Linked DNA regions of Lepisosteus oculatus. The protein of the gene in region 1 binds, or shares a complex with, the protein of each later gene. Links are inferred from orthologs where the notes say so. Each region holds a gene or a part of one and is shown in the gene's direction. Other genes may lie near its edges.

Region 1 (7,940 bases):
ATGCTGCCGGTGTCTGGTGTGAAGAAGCAGTTCAGCTGCAGAGGTCTGAACATATTGCAGCTTGTTGAGAACAGAGCCTAATCAGCAAAGAATGAAAATGAAGGACTCGTATATTTCCCTCAACAGCTCAGAGCAGGAGACCGGTTGGCGATGAGGAGGCAGAGACTGGGAACGACGCTGTGTCAACACCGGGCGCTTTCCTTTTTTTGTTCCAGTCCCGCTGGTCCGATTCAGCTCACACACGCCACTGAGGGCGGTTCTGAATGTTCCGGCTTCGACCCAGGCCCGGTTCCGCTTGCCGACCGCTCCCATCCGGCACTTCGGGAGATTCCGAAAAACGTTCAAATGGCGCCGCAGTAGGAAAGCTGGAATCAGTTAGCCTGCAATGAACAATCCAGCTGAAGTCATCGGTTCAAGTTTCAAGTTAATTGTCATTACACTCATATACATGGTATAGGGTATAACGAAATGCTATTTAGCTAGCTCTCGGACATAAGTAGTACAAAGAGAAAAACAACAACAACAATACAATTGTGTAGCAAAAGAAAGACAGAGACAACAGGCAGTGTGCAAAAAACAACAACAGACGATGTGCAAAAAAACAACAACAGGCAATGTGCAAAACAACAACAACACACGATGTGCAAAAAACAACAACAGGCAATGTGCAAAACAACAAAAAGGTAACAGGGTATGTGCAAAAATATGCATCAACAGAAGAAAATAAAGGGATAGAAATGATTGGGAGTGAGCTTTTGACATGTGAGGTAGAGGTAGATTTTCAATGTGTGTTTGAGTTTTTGGTAAGAAAGAAAGGAAGAAGGCACTGTGAGGTTCAGATCATAGGTGAGAGTGAGAGTGAATCGGTGAGCCGTCCCCCAGGATTAGGACTGAGAGCCGATGGGCTAGAAGACATGAAAGATGTCTCAGTGAAGCACTGTAGCTTCCTCAAGCGCGCCGTGTCCCACGGTGCACTCTGCTGTCAGTCTGGGCTCTCACGTTCGTGGGCTGGTCACCCCCATCGCCTCTGCAGCAGGAGATCCTGCCAGAGCTGACTGCGGGCCGAGGGCCATCAGGGTCCCCCCAGTGAGGGCGGCCAGTGCCCTTCTCCCCGTGCTCGTGTGGGTCTCCTCCTGGTGCGCCGGTTTCCTCCCGCAGTCCAGAGGCACGCTGGGAGCTGAATTGGCTTCTGGGAAAACCGGCCCGGGTGTGAGCCTGTGTCTGTCTGTCCCGTGATGGACAGGGTGGACCGTGCTCGAGCCCGTCACCTGGGCTTGCAGGAATAGGCTCTGGCTCCCCTGCGGCCTTGAACTGGATAAAACTGTCAAAAACACGGATGGATTGATGAATTGGTTGGTGGATTGATTGATTGGCTCATCTTCCTGTCGCCATCACCTCCATTAGCCCCCTGACTCTCTCGTATCTCTACCTGATGAAGCACACACGCCCCTTTTCTGTCTCACTCTCCATAGACTGTAGATACATATATATTAAGTACAGCATCTCCATCATCTTCGTCATCATCTTCCTCAGCCCGTATTAATCCCCTGCTAGATTAAAATATAGAAAGTCACCAGGGCTGGGAGCCAGGTCGTTCTGTGTGCCTGCAGTTTGCAACAGTTCCTCAGTCGCTGCCAAAGCTCAAATCGAATATCCAGAGGTATTCTGGGGGAAACACTGATTTATAATCAAGGATGCTGGCTCTCTTCCCTCTGGAACTCTGCTGCCTGCCAACAGAACAAGGGCCAGGACTGCTCTGTCCATGCTGCGTTCCCAGAGGACGGAGTACAGGGCTTTTCTCTGGTCTGCCTAATACACCTGCAGAGCTGGCTGTCCAGAGAGGACAGGCTCAGTGACCACAGTCTGGACATAGAAACTGGACACAGGCAGACCTGGCTATCTAGAGAAGACAGGCCCAGTGACCACAGACTGGACATGGAAACTGGACACATACAGACCTGGCTGTCCAGGGAGGACAGGCTCAGTGAACACAGACTGGACATGGAAACTGGACACAGACAGGCCTGGCTGCCTAGAGAGGACAGCAAGGCAAAACAGAAGAGGAGATGCACTTTCTGCAGCACTACAAGAAATACTCTAGTAGTATACATTCTTCCCTAAAATAATCTAAGAATTCCATCAGCTGGCAGAACAGGAACAGCTCCCAGTCCTGTACTGAGGGAGGAAATGCAGCAGAGCTGCAGTCCTGTGTGTGATCTCCTGTCACAGCCTAATAATGGGTAGTACTTTGGCGGCACTGTAATTCATCACTCATGTCAAGAAAGATCTGAATTTGACAGGTGAAGGATGAAGTTTCCAGCCAAGGTTAGGGTGAGAAAGAGAGTCAGGCTATCCCAGCAGATGGCGCTCTAAACACACAGCTTGTCTGCTGTTCGACTACACCTGCACTGTTAACAAGTAAGAACCTCACGACAGGTGTGGTGTCTGCACCATCTGATGACACGGGTGGAGACTTGGGAATTAAGTGTGTGGACTGGACTATTTCAGATACAGGAATAGTGTGGACTGGAGTATCTCAGATATAGGGATAGTGTGGACTGGAGTTTTTCAGATACAGGGAATATATGCACTAAGTATTTTGGATAAGTATTTTGGATATAAGAATTGTGTGGACTGGAGTATTTTCGATATAAGAATTGTGTAGACTTTAGTATTTTCGATATCAGAATCATGTGGACTGGAGTATTTTGGATATAAGAATCTTGGGACTGGAGTATTTCAGATGTAGGAATTGTGTGCACTGGAGTATTTCAGATATAGGAATAGGGTGGACTGGAGTATTTTGGATATATTAATCGTGTGGACTGGAGTATTTTCTATATAAGAATCGTGTGGACTGGAGTATTTTCGACGTAGGAATCGTGTGCATGGGAGTATTTCAGATAAAACTATTTTCTCCATCTCATCTGTTTTAATGTAAACTCTTCCATTCAAAACGACAGTAATAACCTTAGCTTAAAAACAGGAACAGGCACAAATTAAAAACATTAATGATCATATATACAGTACAGCTTTTTTAAAAGAACAAGAAATCGCTAAAGATTGTATTTTCACTTTGCGTCATGAATCAATAAAGATGTGTTACTGTAGTTTGGAAGAGGGTGACAGATGGATTTTCACTGATTGATCTGGCTGGGCTGAAAACTGCAAGGCTAAAACTCTGAAGGCTGCAACTCTGTAGCACTTTCCTGGTCCTGCCAAGAGCCCCAGATCTGAAGATCAGTGGATCTGGGCAGTGATAAATACTGTGTGTGCGCAGTAGTTAACAGAAACACGGTGGGAACTGCTGACCCACAAACTGGCCTGGTTTATTAATGATGTGAAGTGACACCGAGCGTTAGAAGGAAAAGCACACTTCAATTTGCAAAAACAAAAACACACAGTCTCAAAGCAAAGGATCGTTTTGGATCATTTTCAGAGGCGGCGGTGTGACGCTGGCCTACCAGGAAGACTGCTGCAAAGACACCCTTGTTAAGAGTGCAGAATAAGAAGAAGAGACCTGCCTGGGCCAAAAAACACAGAAAATGGACCTTTGAGGCCAGCTTCACGCAACCTCCTCTGAACAGGTGAACTCCTCTGAAACATCTGGTCTTCTAGTTGCACTGAGCTCAGCCTGTATTTCAGGGTCAGTTAGTCGCCAGTTTGGCAGACTTGTGACTCTAATGAACGTATTCTCTGATTCTGAGGTCACCTTTGGCCTGCCTGATCTTTTTCGGTCCTCCTGAGTGCCAGATTCTTCATATCGTTTGATAGTCTTGGCCACAGCAGTTACTGACACTAGCAATTTGTTCTTGCAATTTGTCTTAAAGATTGACTTTCATTTCTTAAAGTAATTATAAACTGTGTTTCTTCCTTGCTTGCTGAGCAAATTTTGCTATGTTCATTCAGGAATGACAAACGTTTGCCCATGCTCCCTATATTTATAATAATCACGTGTGTCTTTACAAAAGGTAAATGAGGTAACATGCTAGTAAACTGTGGGAACATCTAACAAAGACAATTTCAAACTTCTTTTAGTGTGCTAACACCGTGTTATACACATTTCTGACTTTTAATTAACCTGGGCTTCAGACTGCTTGCTTTGAGTATTCATTTTATTGAAAATGAAAAATTAACATTTTCAATGCAGTTCACCTAAGATTATAAGTTCACATACAGTATCATGTAATTAAATATTAAGTGTTGATTAACAAGTTTATACAGTTTAAACTACAGATAATGATGGAAAAACCTGGTTTCACACAGTACCTTTGACTGGTACTGGTACTGCATATCTACAGTATATGAAGAGTGAGATCATCAGGATCTCATACAGCTGTGTCCTGAAACAAGGTATCGGCTTCAACAACATGGCTGGGCAGCTTGTTCCACACTCCCACCACCCTTTGTGTAAAATGCTGCCTCCTGCTCTGAATTTTAAATGCGCTTCCTTGCAACTGTCACTCGTGCCCTCTGGTTCGTGTTTCACCCAAACACTACTGCAACCACCACTGAAACATCGGTTCCTCGGATAGAGCCAAGTTTTTAAATGCTCCGTTTTGTGCTCGCTGTTGTGTCGCCTGATTTATGTATTTTATCGATCTATAAAGTCCGCTAGATTGTAATACTATAAACACTTTGCCCCGAGTAGTGATGTGCTGCGTTGGCTGAATGACGTTAATGATTCTTCTGGGAACAACTGCAGTTGGAACACCAGGGCCCCCTAGCGAGCAACGCGAATGACTACCGCACTGTCATTAATGAAAGGGGTCAGGGATAGTTTAAACCCCCTTAAATTGTTCTCAACCGGAGAATAAATCACTTCCATTCCGAAGGAATCACAATAAGCGACACCCAGACCACCCCCTGCTCCCGCCCTCCCCTGCGCAGGCCGGCCGCGCATGCGCGGGGCCCGACTTCCTCCCGGAGGGCGGCGTGATTGGCCGGCAGAGTCACGCTGCAGCGCCGCTGGCAGGAAAGTTTACTGGGAGCGCAGGAGGAGGTCGAGTGCGTGCCGTCGTAGAGCCCGGGTGCAAAGTCCGTTTTCCGTGTCGGGTCTGGATGCGAGTGGGGTCGGGGTGCAGCCGAGATGCGAGACCGGACGAGAGAGCTGGGCGATGTAAGTGCGGTCCCGTCTCTCCGACCCTCGGCCAGCCGGGCTGGTGGCTGTCTGCTTTGCACGCACCCTGGGCGTGTTGTGGCACACAGTCTCGCTACTTTCTACGTCGCGATCGACACCGAGAAAGGGCTGGGGGTAGCTTTGCCCTCGTCCTTTTTTTTTTGCACTTCAGTCGTTGACGAGGCGCTGATCGTGGAAAATAAGCATGATAATAATAATAAAAGATAGATTTGTGAAGGTCCCGTTGAAATTAAAAGGACAAAGAAGGAAGACAGTTAAAATCGCGTATCTGGGCTTCCTCTCATCGTCTGGTTCCCTGTTATCTGTGTTGTATCTTCTGCTATGTTCTGAAGCACTAAGAAAACAACACACGGGAGCTGAGAAGCGACGGCCTGTTTAAAAAATAGTTTCTCCAAACCCCCCTCCGGGGCTGCCCGGTGTATAAATAGCGCTCCACCTCAACAGGCAGTCCGGGGGCTCCTGACACACACACACAGAAGGTGTCTTCTTCAGTGACGTCCAGCCCGAAACGAAACTTCACACGGAAAGGACGAAGGAGCTCGACTTGTTGCATGGAATAAGAGTACTTTGTCCCGGACGCCCACAAGGGACGGTCTTTATGTCAACTTGAATGATCGCCTGCCACTGCCCAGTATCTCCACGTTTTTTCCACCAAACGTCTCTCGCGCTTAGTACGGACAGTGTCCCTCTGTCAGACAGTACCAGTCTGTCAGTGGTTCTCGGTTAATCTGGGCAGTATGCGGACAGAGGTTGTGAGTTAATACGCCTAGTGTCTTTTTGAATTAAATATTCAAGCATACCGGTAAATTTAATATTAAAGGTGCTGTTTGTTTTGGGTGATTTTCTTCTGGATGTGTTAGTAGTCCCAACTTGAGCTACCCTGGAGTCTGTCATAAAGCCTAAGAGTATTAACGTGGAAATACTGATGAACGTTGCTCCTCGCTTTCGGTTTCCCTCTGCAGTGCTGTGTTGTACTCCCCTTAGATCAGATTAATACCAACACCTGTGTGAGTAAAAGAGTGTATTAATCCCTCTCTCAGTGCAGTGTTAATGTACTGGAGTGTCCAGTCAGTGTGTCTGTATGAACCCCTCTCTCTCAGTGCAGTGTTAATGTACTGGAGTGTCCAGTCAGTCAGTGTGTCTGTATGAACCCCTCTCTCTCAGTGCAGTGTTAATGTACTGGAGTGTCCAGTCAGTGTGTCTGTATGAACCCCTCTCTCTCAGTGCAGTGTTAATGTACTGGAGTGTCCAGTCAGTCAGTGTGTCTGTATGAACCCCTCTCTCTCAGTGCAGTGTTAATGTACTGGAGTGTCCAGTCAGTCAGTGTGTCTGTATGAACCCCTCTCTCTCAGTGCAGTGTTAATGTACTGGAGTGTCCAGTCAGTCAGTGTGTCTGTATGAACCCCTCTCTCTCAGTGCAGTGTTAATGTACTGGAGTGTCCAGTCAGTCAGTGTGTCTGTATGAACCCCTCTCTCTCTGTGTGCAGAAGGCGGAGAGTTCTGATGAGGAGGAGGAAGGCAGACCTCTGATGATAAAGCCAGGAACAGGGAAAACATCACAGAAAGCTGCCAAGGATGAGAACGATGAATTTTTCCAGAAGGTAATTTTAACTCTTGAACCTGTTAATGAGAATCTGTCTATGGTGGACTAGTGTCCCCTCGGTGACGGTCACCCCTGAAGGTCTGAATCCAAGCTGGAGCAGTCTGGGAATCCCAGCCACAGGAACAACACTGATGTTTCCATGTGTGACGAACCCATAAAGTCACAAGAAGAACTTTTAACTAGAATTGATGTATTTAAGTTCCTGCTGAGCAGTGTTGAAAGTGTGTCGTAAAATATCCTCTGCAGAGCGATGTAGGGAGTGGGGCTGGTGTCCTGGGTACATACATCCCTCTGGGCTCGTCCTCCTGGTTTTCTCTATAATTCCCCCCTTAGTTCACACAGCGCAGCCCTGTCTCTCTTCTCTGCCTGACTTGCTGAGCAGTAGCTGGTAGTAGTCTCTGCCTCGCAAGAACCTTGGGCGCAAAGCACAATAAAGTAGCGAAACGAAACTAATCATTTCCTCCAGTGGACGTCCCCTTGGGTATGTGCCTCCTCTCTTTTGTGACCTGCCTTGTGTTGGCTTCCTGTGTTACCGGTGCGTGTAGGAAGACCTACAAGCGATCTGTCCGTTTGAGGCATGCTGGGAAGATAGAATCGTTCAGTGGGTCGGAAAAGCACCGCCCCCTATAAATAAATCGGGGGACTGCGTGTCCTGTGGGGGCGCCGGTCACTAACCTCTTGGACCCCGTGTCTGTCCGGCAGGTGAGAGAGATCCACGAGGGCCTGGCCGCTCTCACCATGAAGGTCAACAGCCTGGAGGTCAAGCAGAGGACGATACTGGGAGTGGCCCTGCCTGAGGAAAGTGAGTAAGCTTCTCCCCCGGGACACTCCCGTGCGACATTGCACGCGGAACGGGACTCGGCTCCTTCCTTTCCGGATGGTCAGAGCTCCGGTTCAGAAGGCGCCTGTGAAGCGTCCTTCTTTCAGTGCGCGGTGATGACGTGTTTCTGGAGCGGCATGGTGCTCTGTTCTAGGGGATGAGCACTGCAGGATGAAGGTCTGCCCAGCTCTCGCGGAGTTGCTGTTGCATGTGGCGGAGTCGAAAAGCTTAGCAGCTTACAAAACCTGGAACTGGATCAACCTGCTATGCATTTGGAGGCTGCAGTCTTGGTTCAAATATCTGCCACTGGTAAAACCCAGGAGTGGATCCTTTGGCTATGCATTCGTAGGCCATGCCTCATTTACAGATGTAGCAAT
Region 2 (7,629 bases), on another chromosome or scaffold:
CGTGCGGGGGTGGAGAGGGAGCTCTCCAGAGCAGAAGCAAAGCTCTCTGCATGGCAGCAGAACCCAAAAGAAAATTACAACCCGTCATGAACAAAGATCGCAGATCCCTGAAACGGTCTTTCTCCAGGTACCATTTTGCTCTGCAGCCTATATATCCATGTGTTCCTCATAAAATGCTTTTGTCAATTGCAACTGCAAACCTGTCTCCGTGAAGGACCGTACGGGCAGCACCAGCTCCCGAGACAGAAGAGAGCTGGAGAGAGAGAGAGAAAGAGCAGGAGCCAGATTCCTCACACAGCTGTCTGAACAACAAGCACCAGACTTCAATCAGCCATGTCGGCTCTGGGGTTTTGCACATTTAACAGATAATTGCCCTGCTTTTTTTATGTACTGCCAGAGCAGCAGACCCGGGGGTTGGGACTGTTCTTTTAAAAAAAGCCACATAGTCAAGACTATGTTGTTTTTCTGTGCATAAATTAGCCTCAGAGCTGGGGGGAAAACTCACTGCACAAATAAAAGCAGACCAGGATCACCAGGTGATCAGCTATACTCTGTGTCTTTCTGCAGGTACATGATGCTCTACACTTGTTCTTTGTATTTTTAGATGACCTCTTCTACTTGGACGGTCATCGTTCTGGAGCTGGGCTGGGGGAAGGTGCTTAAGGGTGTACAAACTGTGACAAATGCGCTGCTCCCAGACTCTGGGAACAACAGCTGGTCGGCTCCTGCAACCCAGCGTGTAACAGATTGAAAACGGAGGCCCCTCTATGGACCCCAGTTAAAAACCCATTATCCCTCTTCCTGCTCCAATGTGCTCCTCTAAAGCAGCTAATACAATTAGGAGCAAAAGGCGGTTTTGTTTCTGTGGTCCTGGGCTTCCTGCCAGAAAAAAGGGCTCTGCTCCGAGGCTACACACTGTCACCAGGGATCGTTTCATAATCTAATTTTAAAAACTGAATTCTGCCCCCACTCCATAAAAATGAGCAGAACTATTCACCAAAACAAAAAAGACTGAAGGGACCACGGCACTGCGACACAGTGAAAGGCCTTTTTCTGGCCGGTCAGGCTGTCACTGTGGAGCTCACGTACGCAGAGCAGCCAAAACACGCTCATGCAGCTCTGCTGTGCAACCTCTCCAAGAAGAGCACCAGGGACATCAAAAAGAAAAAGCCAAAATAGCCATTTCCCAACTATGGAAACAGACCCCATTATCTCTCTCTGCGGATAATAACCGTCTGCTGCAGAAGGAGAGAGAGAAGGGCTGGATCCACACAAAAACACTTGTGATGCCAATATTAACACAGGGCTCCACACAAAGAAAGCCGACTACCACATAACCAAGAACAAAGCTTGATTCACGCTGCTCAGAGGAACCGGTGTCTTCGTGGGCTTTCCTGGCAGGTGGGGAAAGTCTCTGCAACAAACACGCCACAGAGCGTCCCACGAATGAGGGGGAGCTGTGGTGTTTGGGAGCCCCCCAGAGACACACATTTGCCTTCGTCCATTTTCGTGGACCCCCATTTCGATTTAACATGCCAGCCTTCGGTGAAATGAAACAGCAAGGGGATTAAGAGCACAAGCAAAAACTAGATATTTTTTGCGACGTGCAGATCTGAAAATTGTTTTTTTGTTTACAATTTCAGATTGTCCCCGTGTCACCCGTCAGGAGTCTGAGATCACACACGCACGCACACACGCACACAGGCACTCACCTCGTGTCTGGATCCGGAAGTTAATCTTACTCTCTGAGGGGTGAGTGATGCTGTACCCACAGAACTCGACTTCGGGGCTGTGCAACACAAAACGCACATGAACCCGGCGGCTCTTTAACACGTCATTGACTATTTTCAACACAGCGACACACGACAAACGTAGAGGTCGATGCAATTGAAGAAATACTCCACTGCACAGCCATTTAAAACATTCCGGGGTTTAAGAGCTGCAGTCTCCCACACGTTAAGGCTGTGCTTGATACCGGAAGTCCGAAAAGCTGTTTTGAGCTCAGCCATGTATCAAGTTAACATATTACAGTATATGAAACCAAAGAAACCATCGGTACAAAAGCCAGCGGCCAGTATATCTGAAAGCGATTGTCAGAGCGCTTGTGCACCAGGACTCGGGACCTCCAGACAGAGAGGGGAAACTCACTTTTTCATGACCATGTAGCGCAGGGCATTGCCCAGAGTGTGGTCCTCGTCGTGCAGCACAAACGTCACACAGGAGTCATCCCCGCCCTCCGCCTGCACCTGCGGAAGACAAAGGGCACCGCGGCAATCAGGACCTCTCGGAAATCACCAGGCGGCCAAAACGACCTGCAAACAGGCTGGGTGAGGCGACTCGCGCTGGTGTGCGCATCCTGAGCGGAAGTCTGTTCGCCGACCACGTCTGTGTAAATGAAATGGCGTCACCTTGCTTAAGATGGGCAAAATGTGGCTAACGCACTTTAGGGATACACGATAAAGTGCCCATCCTGCTGTATCCTGGCATTTTTGCAGTTTGGATCCTTCTGCTGCTCCTTTTTCAGGACAACAAGGCCACACTCTTGCCCAAAGCACCAGGATCTGCATTTAATAATCAGAGTGCCGAGCAGCAGTGTGAAACCCTGATGGTGGGATGTCTCGATCACTGTCCTTGTGGCCCCGCTGTCTGATGGCATGACTCTTACTCAACCCTTGGTCAGCCAATCAACCCCTTGTTCGGGGCTCATACCCGGATTCATTCAATCTTTTTGATTTCTGCTCTGAAGCAGTGAGAGAAATGAAAGGCTAGGAGCCGAAAAACCAGGCTTCACAATTTCCCAAGCCGGACGATCGATGAAGGGCACGATGAAGGGGGAGCCCGGCTGTGGAGATACCCAGAAGACTCCTTCGGCTCACGAGGAGCTGGAACGGAAAGCCCAGTAGTAAGCTGACAAGCGCAGCGAGCAAGCTTTCATAGCGAGTACTGCGGCGATTAAGGATGAGGTTTTGAGGAGGGAAAGAGAGGCACCTCTGGGCCTAAGAGAAAGGGCAGAATTCAGGTTTGGCTGCAGCTCTAGCCTGCCTGACTGGAGCTGCACGTGAGGCCTCTGTGATCCCCTGTGGTGGAGCATGTCTTTTTCACAGGAAGGCCTCTGTCTGCCCAGACAGCTACAGAAACTCTATTCCCTGCTCCCACTTTTCAAGACAACATTCCAAGTCATTTTTAGGAAACGTGGAAAAAAAGAACACTATGTACTTAAAAGCAAAAACAGCTAACAAAACATGTTTAATACCTTCAGCTCTTTTTCAACGGGAGATGGAATTCAGCCTTTTTTGTGTGAAACTGGGAAATCTGGGTGTTTGAGCTGGGTGGACGTGATAATCCCCGCAGATCGCAGGAAGAAATCACAATTATAAGGATCTGCTGGTCAGCGGCAGCACTACCTCCGGGTGCCCCCTAGCTGGTAAAAGGTGGTATCGCCGAGAAAAATGAAAACACTCTAGAAACTTCACAATTTCACACAGAAATAATTCTGCAGCGTACAACTCTCCATCGTCTGGAAAGTTGTCCAGACATACAAAGTCTCCCTAGTGTGACAGAAACCGTACTTCATTTTCATTTTATCCAGCCGATAACGAAATTATTTTTGTTGTTCGTCTTATCCTTCAGATATTTTTCCCAAGACGCTTAAGTAGGTTATAGAGAACAACTGGCCATATGAAATATAGCTAGTATACCGTTTTAGGCTACGGGAACAGTTAGCTTAGACAAGGACTGCCATAAACCCTGCTTTCTCAGGTAGTGGTCTGTTTTCTGGGGGGTTTTGAGAGTCGCGCGGTAAATATGGGACATGAGATAAGATTTCGGAGAAACAAAACTCGCTAAATCCCTGCACATGATGCTGCAACTGCTCCTTTCAGTAAGATTTTTCACCGAAATCGGTTCGCTCAAGGAAATCACAGAATTTCCCCAACTGACAATTGCCAGAGTAGACACGTTGATGCCAAGTTCGCCGTGACCGTATTTTAATTTCAAATACCAGACGCAAATCACACCCCACTCCTAAAATAGACTATGGGCTTGTGCATTGAGTTTATCGCATTTTCATTTAAACGGTCACTCAGAACAGTACTCACCACTTCCAGCACAGGTCTCTTCTCATCCTCACCGGTGGCCATGCTTGTTACCGATCTCCTTTGGCGCACCAATGTGACGTATTAGACAGGGCAGCGCAAGGAAATGTGGGTAATGTAGTGGAATTCCACTACACGGACGCCTTCTTAGATTGTCTCGTTTCTAAAATGTTTACTGCCAAGGCACAGTGAAACAATGTTACATCGATTGTAAAATCCACTTTTTAAAATCGACTTACAGTTACATAGTTAAAAAAACCTTCTAAAACAAGAACCTTGTCGTCCCAGAGAATACAAACGGGGATTAGAGTGAACTGATTTAAACGGATACATCAAACTTAAAAGTTTTTCTAACTTCCGAATGATGCCTTTAAAACCGCTTCACTCGCTCCTTACGTGTTGTTTTGTTTGCAGTAAGTTAATTTCCAAAGGCAGCTTCGAGTCAAATGTTATATTTTGAGCCCGTAAAGTCTTTTTCCCGCAGCAGAGGTTGTAAACTACAAGCCCCATGATTCCAAGGGACAGACGAAAGTGGTCCGTCAGAGGAGCACCAGGTGACTCAGAACTGGGAATTAAAAACATACGTACGGACGGGAAGGATTACGGAAATATACGCTGTTTTTTATTTTAAAGAGGGCCGTTCCGAAGGTAGTTTTCACGGAAGGCGATTCAGAGGTACAGTACGGGGCACGATTAATGGCGGTGTGTTACGACGGCTGTATCGTTGCAATCTACGGCGTATGACATGTCGGAGAAACGGAGGTGTCTGTGTGTATAGAGGTCTCCAGAATTGAAAGAGAAAGCTGACAAAATCATGTTAGAAGAGCTTTTGGGGGGTCCACGCGGGCTGTCTAAAACACAGCGGAGGTCGTTTAGGAGCTATTGAAATAGACTTTAGAATATGCTCTTATTCTAAGGTAATTCATGTTCCGAGCTCTGGCAGATAACGCGGCTTAAAGTGGTACCGCAGTGTAACCGACACTGTTGAACAGTCAGTGTGAGACTGTTAACACGGTCTGTTCCAGCTACATGGTGAAGAGCTGATGGTGAAATCGGCTCTTGTGGTTACAAGACGGGGGGCTGAAACGATTTGGGAACTTAAAATACTCCTTTCCGGATCGGAATGACGTATAGTTTGCAGGAACATGTATTTCTGAAATCAAACGGTTTTTTTTGGGGGGGGTGCATTGGAAAAAGTGTTGTTTAAATTAGCACGGCGTCGCCGGCGTGCGCGCGCGGCTGAGCGGTGGATCCCGGGGCAGGTGGGCAGTTAGCGTGCGTTTGCAGCCCGGAGTGAGCTGAGGTGTGGGATTCCAGGGCCGGTGTCTTCCGTTCGCGTTACACTGGGCAGCTCTGAAGCCCGGAGACGGGTGTTAATCTCAGCCGGCGGTCAAATGCGCTTGTAAAGGTAGCCGGCCTGTTTCAACAGCTGTATGGGAAATCCTGTAGCCATACAAATGGAATTTTGTATCCATACAAGTGGATCAGGTCGGATCATACCCCCCTGACCAGCGACCGCACGCACCTGGGCGGTCGGTGTGCACAGTGGCACGCAGCCAGACACTGCCCTCCGTCCTCCAAGGTGAAGCTGGAAGGGTTTACTGGCCCGCTAGTCGGTACCTGTGCTGTGTTCAGAGCTGTATCACATGCCTTGTGTCACATGAGCATTCCTGTGCCCCAGTACACACCCAATGGGGTAGAATGGCTTAGTGCGCTCGAGCCCAAGCAGGTGCTGGGTGAGCACTGTGAACCGTGGACCGGGGGCCAGTCCGATTCATGACTGTCGAAGCTGGTAGTCAGCCTCGGGTGACATTTGAGGGCTTCTAACCTACAGAGCGCAGTAGTGGGAGTGGCAGGTCATGGGGAGGGGCAGATCTCACTGTAGCTCGACTGGCTGCTTCCCTGTTTTGTGACGCCGGAGGCCCGGGTTTGATTCCCCAGCTGGCAGGGCGCATACCCACGTGAGCCCGAAAGCGCTACATTACTAGGGCGGAGCAGTGGTACTGTGGCTAAGGATCTGCGCCTGTGGCTGGAAGGTTGCCGGTTCAAATCCTGTGGCCGGCAGAGGAATCCTACTCCTACCCTGAGCAAGGCCCCTAACCCCCAACTGCTCCAGGGGCGTGGTATAAATGTCTGACCCTGCGCTCTGACCTCAAGCTTCTCTCCCTGTCTGTGTGTCTCATGGAGAGCAAGTTGGGGTATGCGAAAAGACACATTCCTAATGCCTAATGGCCAAATTCCTAATTGTATATGCCAATAAAGTGATCTTATCTTATCTTACCCTCACACCTTTCTCCTTCTGTCTTGTGTCTCTGATGCAGTCAAGTGCCCCAGCCTCGCTTTCCGTGCTCCCACCCCACTCGCACGCTTGCGGGCTGCTTCCCAGTGGTTTCTCCTCCGCAAGCCCCCCCCCGTCCTCATCACCCCTCCTCCTGCTCCTGTTGCCATGGCGATCCTGTTTGCGGTGGTGGCGCGCGGCACCACGATCCTGGCCAAGCACGCCTGGTGTGGCGGGAACTTCCTGGAGGTGACGGAGCAGATCCTGGCCAAGATCCCGTCGGAGAACAACAAGCTGACCTACTCCCACAGCAAGTGAGTGTCCCTCCCGTGCCGGCCACCAGGGGGCTCTGTTCCGAGTGTCTGGCTGCCAGCTTGCAAAACTTGACTTTTGGGGAGTGCAACAGCCCTCTGCTGGGATTGGAAAAGCACTCTTGCTTGATCACTTCCCTAAGCCTAACACCTTAGGAGCATTGTTTTCATTGTCAATTGCTTCTTATCCTATATCTGCCCAATTTGGAGTTGCCAGTTGTGTTGTTATGCCTAACTAACTACCTTTTACGATTAGGTTAGCTGTTCCTAAGACTCAGCCCACTGTGGTGACCCCATACAAGGACAGTGAGAAAGTGCTGGAAGGTTTCTCCAGCCCTACCCACCCGCTGTAGACTCGGCCATAACGTACAGCAGGTACCGCCTCGATTGGAGGAGAGGCGCGCGCCCTTCCTGGGCGTCACCACAGGCCTGCAGGGGTCGCTGTTTCTCCTGGGCCCGAATCATCCCACCCCCACCCCACTTGGTGCTCAGGCAACTGCGTGCCACCTGCTGGGGAGTCCAGTCACAGCCAGCTGGTTCCATCTCCCGGTCTGGATCACAGAGCTCAGCCTGCAAGTGCCTTTTTCCCACTCGGGCACCTTAAGACCATTTTTTTCCACGTAGCGCAATCCTCACGGGGCTCTGTGAATAATTCAAAACCAAGAGTAACGGATGGCTCAAATGCATACTCAAAAAAGTGAATTTAATATTCACCCTGGTTTTTAATTCCAAGCTGGAACGGCGCTGCGTGGATCAGCCAGAAACAAGAGCTTCTCCAAGCTGCCTCTTGAGGAGCGTGGACAGCTGTCTTTCAGTTTCCGCTTCAGCAATGCTTACCTAACGAAGCCTGAGTGGCTGCCTGCGTGCACTGTTTTCACTTCCCCTTCTCCCCTTTCTTTGCAGCTATCTCTTTCATTACGTCTGTCAGGACAGGATCATTTACCTG

Evidence for each region. Proteins that work in one complex are often made in the same cells at the same time.
Region 2: stx4 (region 1) and sybl1 share a complex: the UniProt entries of both Homo sapiens proteins name them as parts of the SNARE complex. The link is inferred for Lepisosteus oculatus from reciprocal best matches to the Homo sapiens genes STX4 and VAMP7.

The regions. Positions count from the first base shown.
Region 1 is NC_090699.1:15,298,318-15,306,257, forward strand, and holds the start of stx4 (syntaxin-4), read left to right. Parts: upstream 1-4,930; 5' UTR 4,931-5,089; coding exon 5,090-5,119; intron 5,120-6,627; coding exon 6,628-6,741; intron 6,742-7,445; coding exon 7,446-7,545; intron 7,546-7,940. UniProt on the Homo sapiens protein: Plasma membrane t-SNARE that mediates docking of transport vesicles. Necessary for the translocation of SLC2A4 from intracellular vesicles to the plasma membrane.
Region 2 is NC_090703.1:47,620,253-47,627,881, reverse strand, and holds the start of sybl1 (vesicle-associated membrane protein 7), read left to right. Parts: upstream 1-4,616; 5' UTR 4,617-4,769; intron 4,770-6,415; 5' UTR 6,416-6,540; coding exon 6,541-6,686; intron 6,687-7,586; coding exon 7,587-7,629. Other genes in the region: polr1d (DNA-directed RNA polymerases I and III subunit RPAC2), read right to left, coding at 1,713-1,789, 2,149-2,246, 4,098-4,139. UniProt on the Homo sapiens protein: Involved in the targeting and/or fusion of transport vesicles to their target membrane during transport of proteins from the early endosome to the lysosome. Required for heterotypic fusion of late endosomes with lysosomes and homotypic lysosomal fusion.